2 linked regions of the Oryzias latipes genome follow. The protein of the gene in region 1 binds, or shares a complex with, the protein of each later gene. Links are inferred from orthologs where the notes say so. Each region holds a gene or a part of one and is shown in the gene's direction. Other genes may lie near its edges.

What was found.
Region 2: wrap53 (region 1) and gar1 share a complex: the UniProt entries of both Homo sapiens proteins name them as parts of the telomerase holoenzyme complex. The link is inferred for Oryzias latipes from reciprocal best matches to the Homo sapiens genes WRAP53 and GAR1.

What each region holds. Positions count from the first base shown.
Region 1 is NC_019876.2:6,279,736-6,285,532, forward strand, and holds part of wrap53 (telomerase Cajal body protein 1), read left to right. Parts: coding exon 1-199; intron 200-2,857; coding exon 2,858-3,069; intron 3,070-4,477; coding exon 4,478-4,581; intron 4,582-5,278; coding exon 5,279-5,422; intron 5,423-5,575; coding exon 5,576-5,792; 3' UTR 5,793-5,797. UniProt on the Homo sapiens protein: RNA chaperone that plays a key role in telomere maintenance and RNA localization to Cajal bodies. Specifically recognizes and binds the Cajal body box (CAB box) present in both small Cajal body RNAs (scaRNAs) and telomerase RNA template component (TERC).
Region 2 is NC_019868.2:3,855,073-3,860,869, reverse strand, and holds the end of gar1 (H/ACA ribonucleoprotein complex subunit 1), read left to right. Parts: intron 1-2,833; 5' UTR 2,834-2,865; coding exon 2,866-3,088; intron 3,089-3,308; coding exon 3,309-3,463; intron 3,464-3,536; coding exon 3,537-3,596; intron 3,597-3,682; coding exon 3,683-3,809; intron 3,810-3,885; coding exon 3,886-3,972; intron 3,973-4,043; coding exon 4,044-4,054; 3' UTR 4,055-4,277; downstream 4,278-5,797. UniProt on the Homo sapiens protein: Required for ribosome biogenesis and telomere maintenance. Part of the H/ACA small nucleolar ribonucleoprotein (H/ACA snoRNP) complex, which catalyzes pseudouridylation of rRNA.

The sequences.
Region 1 (5,797 bases):
CCGGTCCATGTCTGGGACGCCTTCTACGGCGACGTTCGCGCCACTTTCCGGCCCTACAACCACCTGGACGAGCTGACGGCGGCGCACTCTCTCTGCTTCTGTCCGGACGGGACGCGGCTGTACTGCGGCTTCGAGAAGACTGTGCGGGTGTTCCACACCGAACGCCCTGGGCGAGACTGCGAGGAGCGCCCCACCATGGGTGAGTCGGGGGGGGTTCCGTCTGGACCGAAACGTTCATTCTTGACACCCGGTCAGACGCCATCTAGGGTTGTGCCGATGGACGATATCATCAACAATTCAATACAAAACGATGTTAAACAGCGCTGAGCGGCTATATACATTGACATGTCAGCTCGGTAATATACGAGACGATCTTCTAAACCTGCTTTTAAGAATGTTATGGTTATTATGAAACACCTGTTCGCTTATCATTTGAATTTTAATCCGTGTGGTCAATGCTTTTTCTGAACGGAGCCGGAAAGAAGCCAGGATTAGCAGTATGCTAACACGGGCTAACAACATTAGCTTTGGTTGGCGCTACACGTAAACATGTGGGAATAACATCAGCCTTTATTTAGTTGGGACACAACTGGAAACATAAATCCACGTGATTGTTTGAACGGTTTCTAAGGACTGAGCGACATTTCTGCTTTGAAGCTCACACTGCCGCTGTGTGTGCTGACGATCCGAGCTGTGCTCAGACACACACTTTTAGACCCGGTTCTGAGTTCGGTAGCTCGTTCCCCTAGAGCTGCGGGACGGATCGCAGTCTTAAATCTCCCACACATAGCGCTATGTAACAGAGCACCCCCCCCCCCTCCCTTCCCATCAAACACAAAGCTGTAAATCCGCGCTCCGCCGGTCCACTTGACTAGTTAAGTGCGGGAGCGGACTACTTCTTTTCTATTTTGTTTGTTACTTTTTTTGTTAAAGTCACTTCCTTCAGTTTAAACTGGATCATCACAGATTAGTCATTGGTTGGGAAATAAAATAAAAAAAATAAAATAACGAATAGCAGTTATACAAGAACGAAAAATGTAAAAAACAGCCCCCCCCCCCGACGATGTCATCGTCCATCCCGATGGTTGACAGCAATCATCGTCAACGGCCAATTTAGGGGACATCGCCCGACCCTAACGCCATCCCGCTCGTACCGTGCTCACGTGCAAAGTTAGTCAGTGTTAGCGGACATTTAGAAGAAGACGCGTTGTCATGGCAACAGCCGCCAAGCCTTCACCGACCAGCGGAGGAAGCGCACATCGCAAAAGTCTGCGAAAATTGCGTTAAATGGCTACCTTAAATGTGCTAAAACAATCTCATGGCAACTTAAAGTATTTAACGCATCAAATAAATCCCTTCATGCGTTTGACCAATCGGATGGAGCCCTTTGATGTTAGATGTCCGCCTCCTATGTAGACGAGTATGTCTGAGAAAACCCACCCATGCACGGGGAGAACATGCAAACTCCACACAGAAAGGCCCCCCGTTGATGTTCTGGTTCAGGTCCCCCAGCCGGGACTTGAACCGGGGTGGTGTCTTGCTGTGAGGAAAGAGCGCGAACCGCTGAATCCCTGAACCTTTCAAGATATTCCAGGATTTCTGCCTCCATTGAAATAAATGGGGAATTTTTGGTGCAGAAGCTCGCAGGTTTGAGACCCAGCTGTGGCATTGGAGGAGGAGTTAAGGCACTATAATAAAGAGAGAGATACAGGAAAACAAGGGGTTGAATACCTTATAGCATTCAACGCATTAGGTTAGCATTTATCGCAATTTTCACCGAGTTTTGCACATCTTGATGTCGCGATAACGTTAGATTTATTGTGCAGGCTTAATTTTTACCATCTTGTCGCATTTTTCTCAAGTAAAGAAATCTGAGCTCAAATTCTGCATTTCTGAGCGTTTCTTTATTGAAATTGTCGTGAATAAGGACTGCGTGAATTTCTAGTGAACTTCAGCCGCTCTGCAGAAACTATGTCCTAGAACACAACGCCGGTTTCAGGCCAAGAAACGTTCAAATTGTAATTTAAAAAAAAAACACAGGGAACCCTTTTCACAATAGATCGAAGTATGACTTTGATGCGGTGAGATTTATAGCAAACATCTGTTTTTATTCCATCAACACCTGATGAAGACCTTCATCAGAAAATTTCTACCAATGTGCAGATTTCTGACGCTTCATCGTAGGGAACAGGAAAAAAAAATCATTGAAGTTCCCTGAAAAAATCGGCTTGAGACAAAAGTGATTAAAAAATAACTAAATAAATAATGATACGGTAAATTCAAACCCATTAAAGTGGAGCAGCAATTTGACTTGCAGAATAGTACAATTTTGTAGAATTCAGTGCAGAATTTGGCTGAAACTGAAGGTTTAATGACAGTAAATAAAGCTGGACGGGATTCTGCTAATTCTGCAAAGATCCGTCCGCTGAATCGAGAGGATCCAGGTTTGAAGAAATAACTGGATTTGCTGCAGGTTTTATGCCAGATTCATGAGAAACCATAGCTTCTGCCTGGTTTTTTTTTGTGGTTAAAAAAACCACAACGTGTTGAATTTAAAGAATCTCTGATCTGAAGAATCAGCAGGAACAAAAAATGCATTCAAGGAGGCGGTTCGTCATTTTTCAACCCAGAAATTGAAGAGATTCGATCAAAACAGCGAAACTGCAGGAAAAGCCAAAGTTCTCCGTCCAACAGCGCCTACTGCTGGAACCGGAGCTTCATGACGAGGCCACCAAAGCTTCTCGGAGCCGACGTCTGGTCGTCCGTCTGCAGATTTTTCCGTCTGCAGAAAAATAACTTTAGCCTATTTGTGACAAAAAGTTTTATTTTATTTTTTAATGATCTGTCCTCGCTGCAGTGAAGAGGCGGGGCCAGAACGGCATCATTTCCTGCTTCGCCTTCAGTCCGTGCCAGTCGGTCTACGCCTGCGGCTCGTACTCGCGCTGCGCCGGCCTGTACTCCTGTCAGGACGGCGCCCTGCTGGCTCTGCTGCCCACGCTGCACCACGGAGGCATCACCCACCTGCTCTTCTCCCCCGACGGCAACTACCTGTACACCGGGGGGCGCAAGGTCAACATTTTCACGCTTCTCCCTGGTTTCCTTTGTGGTGTTTGTGGAGCTGGAGAGTCAGAGGAGGCGTGTGTGTCTTATTGGCTGTAGCTCACCTGTTCAGCTGAGCTGTACATTTACGACTTTAAAACGCGTAAATTAACAAGAAAAAAGTCAAAAGTTAAACAAGAAAAAACCTCAAAGGTGCCTGTTTATTGGAGCCTTGCTGGAAGATGAAATATGTGGAGCGTTCTGTGAGGTTTTATTTCTGGATAGGTTTCAAAAACACAGATATTCTGAACCTCTTGGCGACTCAGAATGAGATTATTGTCAGTGTAGTCGCCTTTCCGAGGTTCAGTGTCGGAGTTTCATGTGTAAAATAAGGAACTCAAGAGACACGTTTGGGTGTAGAGGACCAATACTTTATTTTCTCTTCCATTCACACACCCTGAAGTGCATTTGTCTCATTACCTCATGAATCTGTCATCAGAACACCAATGTGTTGTTCTATTAGCATTACAACGTTGAAAATGCCAGAAAGTGTTCCTCCTCCTCAGACGGAAGTGTCACAAAGACTTAGAGGTGTTGGTTTTTATGGAAGTAGAACGGATTGAAGTGGACATCTGCCTGCAGGGACACCCATCAATGAATAAAACATTGATAAATTGTAAATCAAAAAAAATTGTAATGTTATCAATGAACATTCAGCTCACCTGTTGTGTCGGTTGAGTCTGTCCGCTCTGCTGCTGCTCTGTATGCTCAATTCGAGCATACAATTGAAACATGCTCAATTTTAATTTCATAAATTTACATGAAAAAAGTCATATATTTTTTTCCGTAAATTTAACACATTGAATCTCGTAAATTTAACATGTTTTTTCTCTTAAATTTACTACTTTGAATCTCGTAATTTTATGAGTTCTTTTCCCGTAAATTTAAGACCTTAAATTTCGGAAATTTCTAAAAAAAAAAAATTCTCGTAAATTTACTACTTTTATATCTCGTGATTTTGTTAATGTTTTCTTTTAAATCTACGACTTTAAATCTCGTAATTTCACGATTTTTTTATTTTATTTGCAAATTTACGACTTAGAATCTCATAATTTTACGAGTTTTTTCCCCCCGTAAATTTAAGACTTTAAATCTCAGAAATTCACGTTTTTTCTCTCGTAATTTTACTACTTTAAATCTCCTAATTTACTAGTGTTTTCTTTTAAATCTATGTCTTTGAATCTCGTAATTTTACGATTTTTTTTTTTTTACTTACAAATTTACAACTTTAAATCTCAATTTTACAAGTTTTCTTTCCTGTAAATTTAAGACTTTAAATCTCGTAATTTTGCTTCTTTTTTTTGTGTGTGTGTGGCCCTAACACTTAAGAACAAACGTACTAAAGCTGTGATTGGATTCTGCGTCCTTGTGCCACCAGGATCCAGAGATCCTCTGCTGGGATCTGAGGGAGCCCGGGAAGGTGGTGTTCTCTCTGAAGAGGAACGTCACTACAAACCAGCGCATCTATTTTGACCTGGACCCGTAAGTTCACCCTGCAGGTTGCAAAAATGACCTGAAGAAGAAGAAGAAGCGCAACGGTTCCTGGAATAAAAGCTGCCATCAGTCAAACCTGTAAAATGTTGGACCATGAAAGGTTAATTTCTGCACATTTTCACCAGAAAAGTGCAGCTGAATTAACAGATTTTGGAATATCTGTAGGAATATTTATGCTTTTAGAAGATTTTGTGTTGCAGATTGTGTCACAAAAGTGAGAATATGTTGATGGATTGTTTTTAAAACACTCACTTTTTGCCCTCACCTTCTACACACTTCCTCACTCTTGGAACCAGTTCAGTTCACAGTGTCACCACTAGGGGGCTTGATGTCCATTTAGGGGTTTAAAGTTGGATCTAAAAAATATATGTACTCCTCTGTGGGATTTATGGTCTACTATGTCTGCTTTTTTTATCCCGTTATTAAAATGGTGGTAAAATGGGGGCGTGGCCTTTAGATTGACAATGTGTCATCTTTAAAATGACCTTCTCCTGGTTTAGCTGTCTTTTTTTGGAAAAGTGGGGGCCCACTACATACAGACTTACAGCAACAGTGGAGCCATGTTTTGTTTTAAATATGCCCCCCCACCTCTTTCAAACACAGGGTCACATGACCAGAGGGGGTGGGTCCAAACCTTTGATGCTCCCTGTTTCTAAAATGCATTGGCGTTTTTCCTCTGGTTAAGGTCGGGCAAGTATCTGCTGAGTGGAGACACGGAGGGGGGGGTGTCGGTGTGGGACACCCAGACGGCGCCCCCCGATGGCGAAGAAGGACTTCTGCAGCCTCAGCTCAGGTTCCAGGCTCACTGGGACTGCACCAACGGCATCAGGTATGTTCTCTTTTTTTATCTACAATTATATAAAACTAGACGATCCCTATTTTAGCTTTTGAGCGTTTAAGCTCCGCCTTTTTTTTTTATTTATTGGATCAATTTCCACACAAACCCGATTCCTGATCCTCTTCACTCTCGCCGCTTCTGCAGCCTGCACCCCTTCATGCCCCTCCTGGTGACGTCCAGCGGCCAGCGGCAGTTCCCGTGGCCCGACGACAGCGACTCTGCCTCGGACACCGAGGTAGAGGCGGCAGCCGCCGCCCCCCAGCAGGAGGCGCGGCAGGACAACGCCCTGACTCTGTGGTGGGCCGGACCGCTCGCCGCTCCGGCTGAGGAGAGCCGGGAGGAGCCGGCGCAGACGGACTGACAAAC
Region 2 (5,797 bases), on another chromosome or scaffold:
ACTAATTTAAGCGGCACTTGTTCACTTTTTGCTCTATTTTGCACTTTAAAAAAGGTTGTTAATGTTTACCTGTATAGTTAGTTGTTGTTACTGTTGTTTGTTTGTATACTGCGTTCCAGTGATGTGCGGTGAGGTTGATGGCTGGTGAGTCACCAACTCCTCTGGAGTCAGATTTACGATGATAAAACTAAATATTTCACCTTTCATCCAACAGTAGCTAACAGCTCATAAAATACACACAAGAACATATTTGTCCTACAGAGAATATTTCTTTTATAGATGGATAGAACTCTCTTCCTGTGTATAAATTATTCAAATGTACTGTAAACAAATAAAGTGTACAGATGTGTTCAGCACACATTTGACCCTTAGTAACTATTTCCGTTATTTTTCCAACTTCAAATTCTGGTGCTTTAATCAGTTATCAAATATTGTCTGTGAAAATGATCAAAAACATAAAAAAATGATTTTACTTACATTTTTATCCACTTACTCCCATGTTATTTAAAAAACAAAAAACATTGAAAAACATGTTTGGTCTTACTTTTTGAGTCTGTGTGTCGATCTTTCTCCACAAAAAGCTCTATGATCTGTTGGAAAGTCTTCCTTATTTTCCTTTAGCTTATATGAGTTTCTCCCTCCTTTTTTATTTTTTATTTTATTTTTTTTAATTTCAGAACACATGTGAAATACAGCAAAGAACAATAAACTGTACATGAATTGTTCAGAGAACACGCCAGGGGGGATACAAACACAAGATAAACTTATATTAAATTATAAAGCCGAGCAAAATTACACGTTTTAATTGCTTTTTTTGACTTCAATATTTTAAGTACAAAGAAGTAGTTAGGTGAGAATAATATCAATTTAACAAGATGTATTTAAAAAGGATGAGACAAGGCTGGGTTGTAAATGAACACGGCCTCTGTGAAACTTTAAACTAACTCTACAAATGTTATTTGTTGTAATTATAAATAAATCAATCAAATGCATGGTGGGTAATGAAGTTTACTTACCAGACAATAATATAACCACTTTTCAAGATAAAGGCCTTTTAACCTAGAAAAGATCTTTTTTTTACCTATTCTTGCATTTTGCCTAATCATCTGATACACAGATATTATAATTTCACAACAAAAGTATTTTGTAAAATCACATGTTTTTTACGTTCAGACATGCGTGAACTTGTGTGTTCTCTGGGATAAATACAGCCCTTTCAGTCCTTCTGATGAGGTCATGAGTGGATGGAGGAGCAGACCTAACTTGGACCACTCTAATCCAAATTATTTCCGTCCCATTTCAAAACTTCCTTTTACTGCTAAGATCTTGGGGGAGGTTGTAGTGGAGAAACTAAGGTCATTCTTAGAACAAAGTAGCATTTGTGACCTTTTCCAATCTGGCTTTAAAAAGAACCACTCAACTGAAACGGCTCTCTTAAAAGTTTCCAACAATGTGCTCATGGCGGCAGATTCTGGTCAATACACTGTTCTCGTTCTTTTAGACCTGAAATCTGCAATTGAGACTGTAAACCATGAAATCATGCTCAACCGTCTTCATAACGACTACGGTTTATCTGGTTCCGTCCTAAGCTGGTTCGTCTCCTATTTCAGTGGTAGATCTTATAAGGTCTGTGTTGACTCTCTATCTTCAGAAGCAGAAATCCTGTCTTTTGGCGTTCCCCAAGGTTCCGTATTGGGACCCATTCTATTCACTCTCTACATGATTCCCCTTGGGAGACTCATCAGCAAAATTTCAAATATTTTGTATCATCTTTATGCTGATGACATTCAACTTTATTGCTCATTTGGAAAAAATGATTACGCAAATCTATCGTATCTATTAGACTGCTTGGCCAGCATTAGAGTTTGGTTAAATGACAACCATTTACTCCCGAACCCTACTATGACGGATACAATCATTTTTGCTTCTGATGAGGAAATTCCCGCCATCAAAAGACACCTTGGTTCACTGAGCTCTTCTGTCCAGGCCAGTCTCAGGAATCTTGGTGTCTGGTTTGACAAATCTATGTCTCTAGACTCACTCAAAGCTCTTGGTCAAAAACTGTTTTTAAGGAATGTGGCTAAACTGAAGACAATGTTAACCATATCTGACCTTCAGTTGATCATCCATGCTTTTATCTCCTCTCGTTTAGACTATTGTAATTCTCTTTTTACTTGTTTTAACAAAAAGTCTCTTAAACGTCTCCAACTGGTCCAGAACTATGCTGCATGGCTTTTAACTGGAACCAAAAAGCGCACTCATGCCACCCCTCTGCTTTCATCTCTACATTGGCTTCCTGTTAAATTTAGAATAGATTTTAAAATTTTGATTTTAGTTTTTAGAGCCCTGCACGGACAAACCCCGAACTATATTTCTGACCTTTTAACTCCCTACACTCCTGCACGTTCCTTGAGTTCCACTGATAAAAATATTTTATGTGTTCCAAAGACTCGTTTTAAAACTAGGGGAGACCTCGCCTTTCAGGCAGAAAACGACCTCCCCCCGTCTCTCCGCCAGATTGACTCAGTCGAGTGTTTTAAAGCTCAAGTTAAGAGAGCTATTAGCTGACTTTTATTTGTGTTCACTTTTGCTTGTTTGTTTGTTTACTTCTATGCTTGTGTTTGTTTATTGGGTTTCACTACTGATTTTATATTGTTTTAACATTGTGAAGCACTTTTTGAGTCGCTCTCTGAGAAAAGTGCTATATAAATAAAGATTTACTTACTTACGTAGAACACCACCCTTGAAGAATGTGGGGCTGTTGTGGGCGAGATAAAAGGGGCAGTATTGTAATTAAATGTACCCTCTCATTTGGCCCCTCCCACTCTCTCAGGTGTTTGTGTGTGAGGCGAGGATCCAACCAGGATGTCTTTCAGAGGCGGCGGACGAGGCGGCGGACGAGGAGGGGGCTTTAACCGAGGAGGAGGCGGCGGCTTTAACCGAGGAGGAGGCGGCTTTAACAGAGGGGGAGGAGGCTTCAACCGAGGAGGAGGAGGCGGCTTTAGCAGAGGCGGAGGGTTTGGACGCGGAGGTGGACGAGGGGGCTTTAACAGGCAACAGGACTATGGCCCCCCCGAGCATGTGGTCGGTAAGAGCAGCCAGTAGAGGCGTCCATGCAGACTGTTAGGAGCAGCTGCTGTGTCCTGAAGGTCATCAGAGGAGGTCACGTTCTCAGCGTGGTTCCTGGTTGGCATAACGGGGTCACACGCGTGTAAACGGGGACACAGCTGCAGCCTGGAACACAAACGCTTTCACACCTCAGAGGATCTGACACGAGGTGACCGCCTGCTTCAATCCTGTCTCTGCAGCTCTGGGCGAGTTCGTCCATCCCTGTGAAGATGACATCGTCTGCAAGTGTACCACCGAGGAGAACAAAGTCCCCTACTTCAACGCTCCGGTCTACCTGGAAAACAAGGAGCAGATCGGGAAAGTGGATGAGATCTTCGGGCAGCTGCGGGACTTCGTATCCTTTTGGTGCGTGAGCGGAGCGAGTCTGAAACACCGGCATGAGAGCATGCTCCTTATGAGTCCTGCAGTACTTTTCTGTCAAACTGTCTGAAAACATGAAGGCGTCTTCCTTCAAGAAGCTGCAGAAGGTAAAGGCCTCTTCCTCCTCCTCTTCCTCCTGCTGTGTGGCTGAATGCTGCTGTGTCTGTGGGACACTCACACCCCTCTCTATCAGTTTTACATAGACCCCATGAAGCTGCTCCCACTGCAGAGGTTTCTGCCCAGGCCTCCGGGGGAAAAGGGTCCGCCCCGGGGAGGGCGGGGCGGCGGGCGAGGTGGAGGAAGAGGAGGAGGTCGTGGAGGTGAGGCATGACATGACATGACTGCATGACAGTCGTGGAATCAGAAAGGAGTAACGGTCCTGCGGGTCTGTCTCAGGAGGTTTCCGGGGTGGGCGGGGCGGAGGTGGACGCGGTGGAGGAGGCTTCAGAGGAAGAGGAGGTGGTGGTGGCCGAGGATTCAGAGGTGGGTTCACCGTCAGGCGTCCTACTGTGCGCTGTTTGTGTCGTCTGAGCTGTGTCGCTGTTTCCTCGCAGGAGGACGATAAAGGAGGAGGCGCGGCCCTCCATCTGCGTGGGACAGACTCCTCACGAGGAGCAGCGGCTCTTCCTGTTTTTTTGGAAGAGCCGTGGACCTGGATCTTTTCCTTCGGAGGGTTTGTGTGACGCATCTCTGTGGTGCGTTCATGAACGGGTTTATTTCAGCCTGTGGTGGTTTAACCACGGATGGACACTTTTTTAAGGCTCTGATTAAACAATGCTTTGTAAACACGTGTGTGTGTTTTATTTCCTTTACCCGACTTTTGAAAAAGCAGCTGCGCTGTCTGGAAGACGGATGAGTGATGAGAAGCTGTCATTTCCAAAAATCCCTCTGTTTTAGGCTCAGGGATGAAGAAGGGAAAGCTCTTTGAGAGCAACGACATTTCAAATGTTCACTGAATTGCAGCTTTGAAAAATCCCACAAAGATTTTCAATCATTTACGCTTTAATGACAACCAAAAGAAAATTCTTTTTTCCTTTTTTTTTTTAGACATTTATTCCATTTTTGGGCTGTCTTTGTTTTCTTGTTTGATTTTCAAGTCATTTTATGTTAAACTATTAAAAAATTTAACTTTTTACAAGTAGTTTTGGATAATGCAGCATTTATTTCTCCGTTTACCATGACTCGTGATTTCTATCAATGTTGGACTTCCACCCCCTGCAGCTTTACACTAAACATCAGTTTTGTAAAAAGGAATTCTGTATAAATGGTTGAATCCCTTCCTTTCTGTGGTTCTTGGTCCTCCTGCAGCGTCTAGAGTGGCATTCAAATCCATCACATCACGTCCTTCACATGAGCTGCAGTTGATGGTGGAGTTCTCTCTCTTCTGATGTGTCAATTATGAAAAATACAGTTCTAGCTAACCCAGATTATCTACAAAGATTAGAATTGTTCTGTAGGTGTTGGGAGGGGGATTAAAAGCTGCAACAATAGGACCGTTTGTGATGACTAAGCTTTTCCTCATCAAAGACTCCATTCACTGATGGTACAGAAAATAGATCGTTATAAAACTCTGGTTTTACATAAAATTCCCAACAGTACTAGAAAAAATAAAATCTCATTTTTAGACAATCTTTCAATCAATAGAAGAGTTTCTGCTTTTCCCTCCACTATGTAGCAGAGGGTTGTAACACTTACAGGCTACGTCTGTTTCAGATGGATCTGGATTTATACGTTATTTGGGTTCTACCATCTTCTTTTTTACAGAAACACCTTAAAACCTCTGATAGTGAACTTAAATAATGTTAGGAAAACGGATCAGATGTAAAACCTGCTGCATCTCTGCTCATGTTTTACTAAAAGCTTCACTTTCTGGATGTTTGTCAATTTGTTCAAATTTACTGTTAATTTTAATCAAACATACTTAAAATCCTTTCAAAAAAGTCCTGTGACTTCATTATTTTCTAATCAACACAGAGGAAAGGCTTCCGGCAGGAAGTGAAGTCCACTTGGCCTCTTGTTAAACTGCAGTGATTATTTTTTTATAGTTAATTTTATGATTCATTTTAAGTATTGAAATCATGGAATTATACAATAAAGAACAGAAATCCAAAATTTAAACAGATTAAATCCATTTCAGATAAAAAGTAATAATTGATAAGAAAAAAGATGTAATGAGATGATGCTATCATATTGACAGTGTGTTTATTCATAATTATAAATAGATGCTTTGCATTAATGCATACAGAACACATGCACGTTACATTAGACCATTAAGATGCACTACCAAGCGTCATTGATTATCAACAAA